Callithrix jacchus: one gene and its partner. The protein of the gene in region 2 interacts with the protein of the main gene of each other region in a pairwise test. Links are inferred from orthologs where the notes say so. Each region holds a gene or a part of one and is shown on either strand. Other genes may lie near its edges.

Region 1 (3,808 bases), on a different chromosome or scaffold from region 2:
AGGTTAACTTGACAAAACTGGAAAGATCTTGATTATTATTATTTTTTAAGGCATGAATCAATGAGTCAATCACTTAAAAGAGATTGGATTGATGTCTCCAAAGACTGGTCAAGCCAATCACTGTAGTATGAAAACCTCCCAAGGCCGCACACGCAGCCAACGAGGTCCGAAGGCCCTGACCCCACTCCTCACTTCTCTGGGGCCGGGTTACGCATACCACCTCCAGCCACACTTACTTGCATAGGCAGGTTATTTGCCATGGTGAAGCTGGGCATGGGTGGCAGAGCGCTGTAGGTATTTGTGAGGGCTGTGTCTGTTCGGCCCAACATGGAGCCAGATGTGAAGGAGGAAACTGAGGACAGGAGAAACGACAGCAGTCAGGGTGAGAGTCGGAGCCCGGACACAGGTTTAACACACTGATTATATTGGTATTTGATATATTCGTATTTCGAATTACCCGGTGTGGTGGGTTGTGGGATTGGTTGGTAGACACTGGTGCTGAAACTACTGCTGATAGGGATATGACTAGGTGTGTTGCTGGCCTGTCTTCTCTGATTCCTCAGTTTTTCTTCTCTTCTCCATTTGGCCCTTCGATTAGAAAACCATACCTGGAAATCAGATAGGACAGGTTAGCACTGTGCCTATGTCAAGCCCAGCCCCACCTTGACACCTCCGCTGCTGCCCTCCTCACACCCATGGCAGCAGAGTATCTAGCAGACTGAATCTGTTATTATTCCTATAAATAAACAGTGCTCTGTACCAGCACCTCTGTCTCTAGGAAAGGCAAATGGTATGAATCACAAAGTGTGAAATTGCACTGTCCCTTGGTACCTGTATTCTCGCTTCAGGTAGATCTATTTTGGCCGCTAGTCTTTCTCGGGCAAACACATCTGGATAATGGGTTCTCTCAAACTCTGAAAAAGAAGTTGATTTTCCACATTGTGCCAGAACTACACAAAATATGTTGACCAAACTGGATCAAGCTGGTTCCCCCTCCCCACTCCCATCACCTCCAACCAATTCCCTTTAAAATGCTTCTAGTGTTGACTGTACCAAGTGAAATTTTCTTTGGAATGACATTCAATGACCTTTCTGTGGCCTGAAATAGCCAAATCATCATGTTTCTCTTATAAGTCAGATGCCTGGTCTTTGAATTACTGGTACATGAAAAGAACCACATACACACACACATACACACACACACACACACACACACACACACAGAGAGAGACACACACACACACACCCACAGAAGAGATGCCCAGAGGAAAAAAAAAAGACAGAAAAAAGAAACCTTTTCAGTCCTCTATGCAAAGGGCCCTGGCTAAATTTAGCTCTTTGTACTGAAGATGTGGCATTTACTTTGATTTACTGCTTCTCTACTTTCAAAAACTCCATCACCTTTCTCCAGGGCCTCAATTTGCTCTTGGGTAAAGGATGTTCTATTTCTTTGCAGCTTCCGCTTCAGCTGAAGTCGCATTTGAGCCTCATCTGAATCTTCTCCGTTGGAACTGATGGAGTTGGTGTTCTCTCCCCCTCCTTCCTGTTGCTGGCAGCCATCTGGAACAAAAAGAATAGGACGGTAAGAGAAATTTGGAATAACTTGGAGCCTCCAAAAGGGGCCTGATGTAGTCTTAAACTCCAAGAGCATTATATTCCGACAGCCTCACCAAAACATTCCCAAGGTAACTGTCAGCCTTCTTTAAATAAAAGACATTTGTGATGTTAATTACCTGACCACCATTTTCTTTGTTTTTATCAAGATGAGACTTTATAATACTCACATTAAGTAGCATTTCTTGAATGAAAAAATAAGCACTGAAGTTTCCAATTAAAATGATCTTTTGTAAGTAACCCTGAGTCCCCAAATGCCTCACTCCGTTCCCTACAGAATGTCTTTGCCTATGGCTGCTGGGAAAACGGAAGAGTGATATTCAGGATTTCAGTTGATCTATAATCAGTAATTCCCATCTAATCAATTAGATGTTGATAGGTTTGTAGAAAATGCTATTAAGAAACCAAACCAAGCTTGTAATCTTTTTAAAAAAATATTTATCTAGTTTTTATTTGAATTCTGCACAGTCAATTTCATTTTAAAGGTTGTGAATTTAGAAGTGCTCGCATTGTTCTGCAGTTTTATTCAACTATTGTATGAGTGCGCTTCGCCTTGACACCTATTACGAGCACAGCTGTAATTATATCATCACCAAGAACAGGCTATAATTGCTGAAAATGGAATTTTATATTTAGATAAAAGGACTGTCCATTCTTTGTAATGTATTGCACCAGAGAAAAGTAAGATTTCTTTTAAATTTTTAACGTGTAATTTAAAAAAAGAAATGGTAGAGAGTTCACTAACTAAATATTCTATGCTGCAGCTGAATCTTTGGCATATCATTTAAGTGGTACATTTTTAATTAGGGCATTTCCACCACTTTTAATGTAATTTCTATCATTATACCGGGGAAAGTTTTATTGTTTTCCCTTGCTGCCTGGAGGGCAAGATGTGCACTTGGGCTAGCTGCCTTGCACCTTGCCTGTAAGGCCACAGCCTGTGTGAAGGGAATCAAGATTGCCTGAACTCTGACTGGGCCTCCAGGGCCACTATGTGCTGGGTCGTGGGTCTGGGGTCCTGAGGCCCCCAAGTGATACCAACATGGACTATCCCCCATCCTCAAAACTTGGCAAGAGGTGGGGTGGAGGGGCCCCTAGGAGCGCCTTGGTGGGAATCGACTTGGCCAGGAATATTATTTATAACCAGGAGACAATAGGCTGAGCCTTCAAAGAGTTCAGGGAATTGTGACAGGATCTAGTGGGACCTTTTCAGGAACTTTGAAATGTTTTAAAACCCCAACTTTCTCCCCCATTTAAACAGGCAGATTCATCAGCACTGGCCACCATATGGGCCCTTGGAGATCTATTGAGATGACCACCAACACTTGAATAGCGAGGGGCTGCTTTTCAGCGCTGCACAATGCCCTGCGAGTAAGGGAAACTATTAAACTCCTGGGGCAGGAGCGTTGGCAAACTTTCGTGGGCAGAATTTTGAGGCTACAATGAGCTCGGACAACAAAAGGATTCTCTTGAGGCGTGCAGCGGGCCACATTGTGTTACAAGGAGCCCAGTCAACAGACTTTTCAGTGAAGTGTGTTAACCCCTCTGCTCTGCTATCATTAATCACTGTCCGAAGAGCAGGCGCCTCCGTGCTATTTAGGGCGCTTGGCTGGGGGCATGGAGGGTGGATGGGGGGCCAGGGCCCGGCGTGGGGGAAGGCAGGGAGGGTGGATGGGGACCAGGGTGGGGTTCCTACTTTGGAGAGATGGGAGACAGGATGGAAACCAATGGTGGGGGTGGAGGCAAGGGGGAAGGATTGGGGGCCTGGGTTGAGGGAAGGGGCGGAGGGCAAGGGAGGGAAAAAAGAGGGCTCAAAAAACAGAAGAGGCCAGAACGGTCTAAGAAAAAAGGACAGAAAAGAATGCTGAGAGGAAAAAGAGGCAGGAGGGCCGTACAAGAGTGGGAGAGAGAGGAAATGGAAGATGAGGGACAGAAAATATTAGTAACTGAGCCTCAGCTGGGCTCTGGGTCTTTGCACTCCATCAGAAAGGTGGGGGTCGGAGAGGTAGGGCTACTCAGTGGAGAGGACGCGCTCCACTCACGCGTGCGGGTACAGGCATCTGTGCTAATTTACTGCCCTAAGTTTCCGGGGGACTATTCAAAGCGTTTTTCAAGGGAAAAAAATGAAGCGACCACCCCCACTCTCACTTTATTTTCGGGTTTGGTGAAGAAGGAAGACTGGAAATAGCTCCTT
Region 2 (4,383 bases):
CAGTACAATCTTGGAGCCACTGGCAAAGCGGGTGATCTGGGTAAAGAGCTGTGCCTTTAGGCTTTCATACTGGTCAGTTGGGATGTCGCTCCAGTAGCGAGAGATCTTGATGTGAAGAGCACTGGCCCCAAAGTACTGGATCTCTGGCACCTTGTCGGGCTGCAGTAGCTGCCAGCTGAAGTGCCAGGCCTGTGGGGAGACCTGGGCCTGCATCAGCCACTTCTGAGCCAGGTTCTTGTTTTCAATGTTGGGGTCATAGTAGAGCTGGTGCAGCGCCTGCAGGACAGCACAGGACTGAACAGGTGCTGGCCACTCTGGATCCTGCCAGAGCCCAGAACAGAGGCGTGACTTGGTCCTGCAAGACTGCTCCCTCTCCCTGACTGGGGAGCTGAGCAGGGAGAGCTCAGGGCTCTTGCATTGTTTCCTGGGCCTGGGTCCTGCTGATATCTTGAGAGCCTGAAACTTGCCCATGCTCTACCATATCCTCTTCTCCTTACAGCAAAACATTATGGGTTCAGAGAGAATCTCCACAGGAAAGCAAAAAAAAGAGGAGGCTGATCCCCTCAAAGGGGAAGCACTTGAGGCCAAGGCCTAGGTGGAAAGAACAGCTTCATAGGGATGAAGCTAGACCTGAGAAGGGCATGGAACAGCTTGAGGGGACTTGACCTTCCCAGGCACAGCTGCTCCCATCAACTCCAACAGCTCCTTTCAGCTCCCCCAGGATCATCCCTAGGTCACTCCAGATGCTGGCATCAAAGCCAGTGTGAAATCAGAGCAGGACTAAGACTTTTGCCAAGTAGCCCTGGGGCAGAGACATGCTGGAGTGGGGTGGGGTGGGGGCGGTGAGAACACTCCTCAGAGGGCACATGTGAAGGTCCAATCAACTGATCCAGAGAAGCCTTGGCTATAGCTACAGCCCTGGCAAACACCTGGCCTAATGCTTTCCACTAGCACAGTCCCCAGGGCCTCAATTCCAATGGGACTTCATGAAGTAAGAAAACAGATTTATCTCCCGGTAGCACCTGGAATAGCGCGTCACCATGCCAACACTGCCCTGCTCCAAGAGGTGGGAGAGTGTGGCCAGGACCCTGACCCCTAAGCAGGCTCCATCCAAGTAGGCTTAGCTCTATTTGTACCCCTGCCGGTCAGTTATGGCCACTGTCCCTTGTTTGGCCCCTCAGGGATGCCAAAGCAGGCAGAAGAGATGCATCCTCATTGTCTGTTATGGCAAACAGGAGTCAAGAATAATAAGTGAGCATCTGCAATCATGCCCTGCTTTCAAGTAAGGGAGCCCCATCTTCCCATTCATCCCAGGGTGCATGCAATCCTGCATTCCAGGTTATAGGGAGCAGATACAGAAAAGAACCAAAAAGGTAGTTCAGAAAGATGGGCTGGGCAGTGGGGGAGCTTGGGAGGGCCATGGCAGGGAGCTGTGTGGGCAGGTGAGTAGGGAAGAGCCCTGTAAGGCTGCCAGCCTTACAGGGCCAGGACCCTTGGACTCAGCACAAAACAAAAGGAGACAGCCCCACACCTGCCTGCTCAGGACTGGTCTGGCTTCCATCCAATAAAGGAAGGACCCTTCTCCAAAGAGTAGAAACAACCCAGATTGTTTTAGTTCCAGATTATTTCCTGAGCCCTTGGCTCAATAAAACCAGGTCCAGGATGGTTTGGCATCAGTATAATTCCAGAAGACTGAGCTGCAGGTCTCCTGGGTTCCCAGTTTCCTACTGCACTGCTCATGCAGTTCCCATGGAGCTGGAAAATAGCCAGTCTGGCTGGAAGGCTAAGTCATAAGCTCCCTGAAGGGACCATCCCAAGACCCTGGAGTATCTGTCCACAGGGGACCTGCCTGTAAGGAAAGACAAAAATAGCCCATTAGGGGACTGCAATACTGCCTGCCCAGAAAGACAGCAAATGCCAGGTGCTCTGGGGGCACCATACCAGCGGGCAGCCAGCCCAGGCCTGAGCGCTGGCATTAGTGACAGTCCCCAGAACTTCTGCTCTGTCACTGGAGTGCCCACCCCAGAGCCCTCATACCTTCTCCACGTTCTCCACAGTGAAGTCCAAGGCTGATGCTGCTCCAGCCCCTGCAGCCCCCGACTGCTCCTCCCGCCGCTCCATCTTTGCTCCCTCCCTGGCAGGGAGGTGGGCCCTGATCTGCCTCCTGCCCCAGCCCCTTGGCTGCTGGCCCCCTGCTAGACCCCGGCTTGGATGTCCAGGGAGTGGTGGGGTGAGGGGGGCCCCAGGGCGGGCATGGCTGCCGAGGCCTCCCCACCTCGTCTGGGGGTGAGGGGCTTGCCAGAGACCAAAAGGGGTGCTCTTGAGAGACCCACTGAGGGGGACTCCGAGGAGGGGGCCGTCAGTGAGGAGCTCCCAGGCGGGGATCCTTGTGGTAGGTCACAGCTCTGTCCCCACAATCTGTGTGGAGGGAGTCAGAGGGGAGGGAAGCCTGCGGGGGAAACCGAGCCCCTGGATCTTGAGGGGTCACAGGGTCGATGGCCTGAACCCACAACACCACCGCCTGGGTGAGCTCTCGGGTGCTATGAAAAGGTCACGGGGCTGGAGGGTCACCGGGGAGAGAGCCCTTCGTGGTTACGGAGGCGTCCAACGAAGCGCGGAGGTACAGCTTCGCGAGTCTGGGGCGAAGAGTCCGTGGAGTTGAGGGGCTGTGGCAGGTCTTTCCGTTCGGCCTGGCCCGCGCTGTGCTCACCGCCCGGCGCCAGCCCAGCTACCGCCGCTGCCTCCGCCCCAGTGACTGACAGACAAGCCAGTCCGGCCGGGACGGGGCAGGGACCTCGTCAAGGCGCGGGCTGCCCGAGCGCCTGTCCCCGGCACCGCCAACTCAGTCCCCCACTCCCGCCTGTCCTGGCTCGGCACGGCCCGGCACAGCCCGGCACGACCCAGCGGAACTGCGCGGAAACTCATTCCGGGTCCGTGGCCCTGTCCTCGCGCCAGCCCGCGCGCCCCCGAGCAGGCGGTGGAGCGGCGCGCCGCCCTAGGCCCCCGCCGAGTCTAGGCCCCGCCGCTGTGCACCCTGGGAAATGTAGTCCGTGTTGCGCCTAACCGGAAGGCGGAGCCCTGCGGAGGAGGCTCGGAGCACGTGGGTTGGGGACTTGCGGATCACTGCCTGTCCTCGGCCTACCGCGACCAGCAGGCACTCAGGGTCAGACCGGTGCGGGGCGCTGCGGCCTACTTCCCTAGTAGGAGGACGTGAGGAGGAACCCGAGGACGGAGGGGGGAGTCCGGGCTAGAGGGTGGGGACTAGGGAGGTTGCCTGGTCACTCTGGCGCTCCGCTGCGGGGCATCCTCCGGCCCAGCAAAGGTGCAGTCTGGGAAGAAGGCGTCAGCATCACCCAAAGGAGAGGAGAGGGGACTTGGCACGCCTTAGGAAGAAAAAAGGGAAAGCTCTCAGGACCACCCAATAAGCAACCGGGAAACCACGTACCATGGACAGTGCTCGGGGAATTTCGTAAGGTTTTGGAAGTAACTTTATGTGTAACTAGAATAAGAGTAGCTTACATTTAAGTGCCAGGAGCAGGACTTTGCATACTTCAGGTTCAGTTTTCTTAACAGCTCTTAAGTGGGTATTTTTATTCATTTTCAGATGAGATGAGGAAGTCGAGCTTGGGGAAAGTTAGGCTTATCTTGCCCCGGCACACAGACAGGGTGGCAGACCCTGCCATAGATTTGGTCTGCCACAGGCCCCGGCAGCTCCTGCCCCTCACCCCTCCAGTTGTCTTTTTATTAACTCCTGCCTACTCTAGCAGGGAAGACGAAAAAAATTAAAAGTGCAAAGAGCTCTGTAGTTGTGTTCGAATGGAGGAAGCTGGCATTGGCAGTAGCTGCTGAGGCCTGAGAAGGACCACGAAGGCTTCCCTGAGAAAAGAAACTTCAAAAAACTGAGCTTGAAGAATAGAGAGCCTGGGGAGGAGAGGGGCTCATTTAGCTGGTAAGCAAAATCCAGTGGGACTCTTAAGTCATTCAGCAAATCTTCATCAAGAAAGAATAGCAAGTAATTCATGTTTAGTTTAAGGGGATATATGTGTGGTGGGGAAGGGGAAGGGTATGAGTAACAGAGATGAGGTTGGAAAGACAAGTTGGTAGCAATAGATTCTTGTAGGAGTTTGGACATTATTCTAAGTGCAATATGAAACCATGATGGGGTTTCAAGTGAGCAATGATGATTACATTTGCATTTTAGAAAAATATGTCTGCAACATGAAAGACAAATTGAAGGAAGAAACAGAGGCAGGAGACATTTGGAAGGAGGAAAAGGAAAGCCAAAATAAAGTAACTGATTCCAGGCCTGTGCCTAGGGTGTGAAATACCTTGAGCCTGGTGCTGGCTGGGGGTTTCACTGGTGGAGGTGGCGGTGCACAGGGG

Evidence for each region.
Region 1: the proteins of IPO13 (region 2) and PAX6 interact in a two-hybrid assay, tested with the Homo sapiens proteins (2 studies listed by BioGRID and IntAct). The link is inferred for Callithrix jacchus from reciprocal best matches to the Homo sapiens genes IPO13 and PAX6.

Annotation. Positions count from the first base shown.
Region 1 is NC_133511.1:97,170,681-97,174,488, forward strand, and holds part of PAX6 (paired box protein Pax-6), read right to left. Parts: intron 1,561-3,808; coding exon 1,402-1,560; intron 915-1,401; coding exon 832-914; intron 609-831; coding exon 458-608; intron 353-457; coding exon 237-352; intron 1-236. UniProt on the Homo sapiens protein: Transcription factor with important functions in the development of the eye, nose, central nervous system and pancreas. Required for the differentiation of pancreatic islet alpha cells.
Region 2 is NC_133508.1:80,614,101-80,618,483, reverse strand, and holds the start of IPO13 (importin-13), read right to left. Parts: upstream 2,914-4,383; 5' UTR 2,122-2,913; coding exon of another isoform or gene 2,038-2,121; intron 1,850-2,037; exon of another isoform or gene 493-1,849; 5' UTR 472-492; coding exon 1-471. UniProt on the Homo sapiens protein: Functions in nuclear protein import as nuclear transport receptor. Serves as receptor for nuclear localization signals (NLS) in cargo substrates.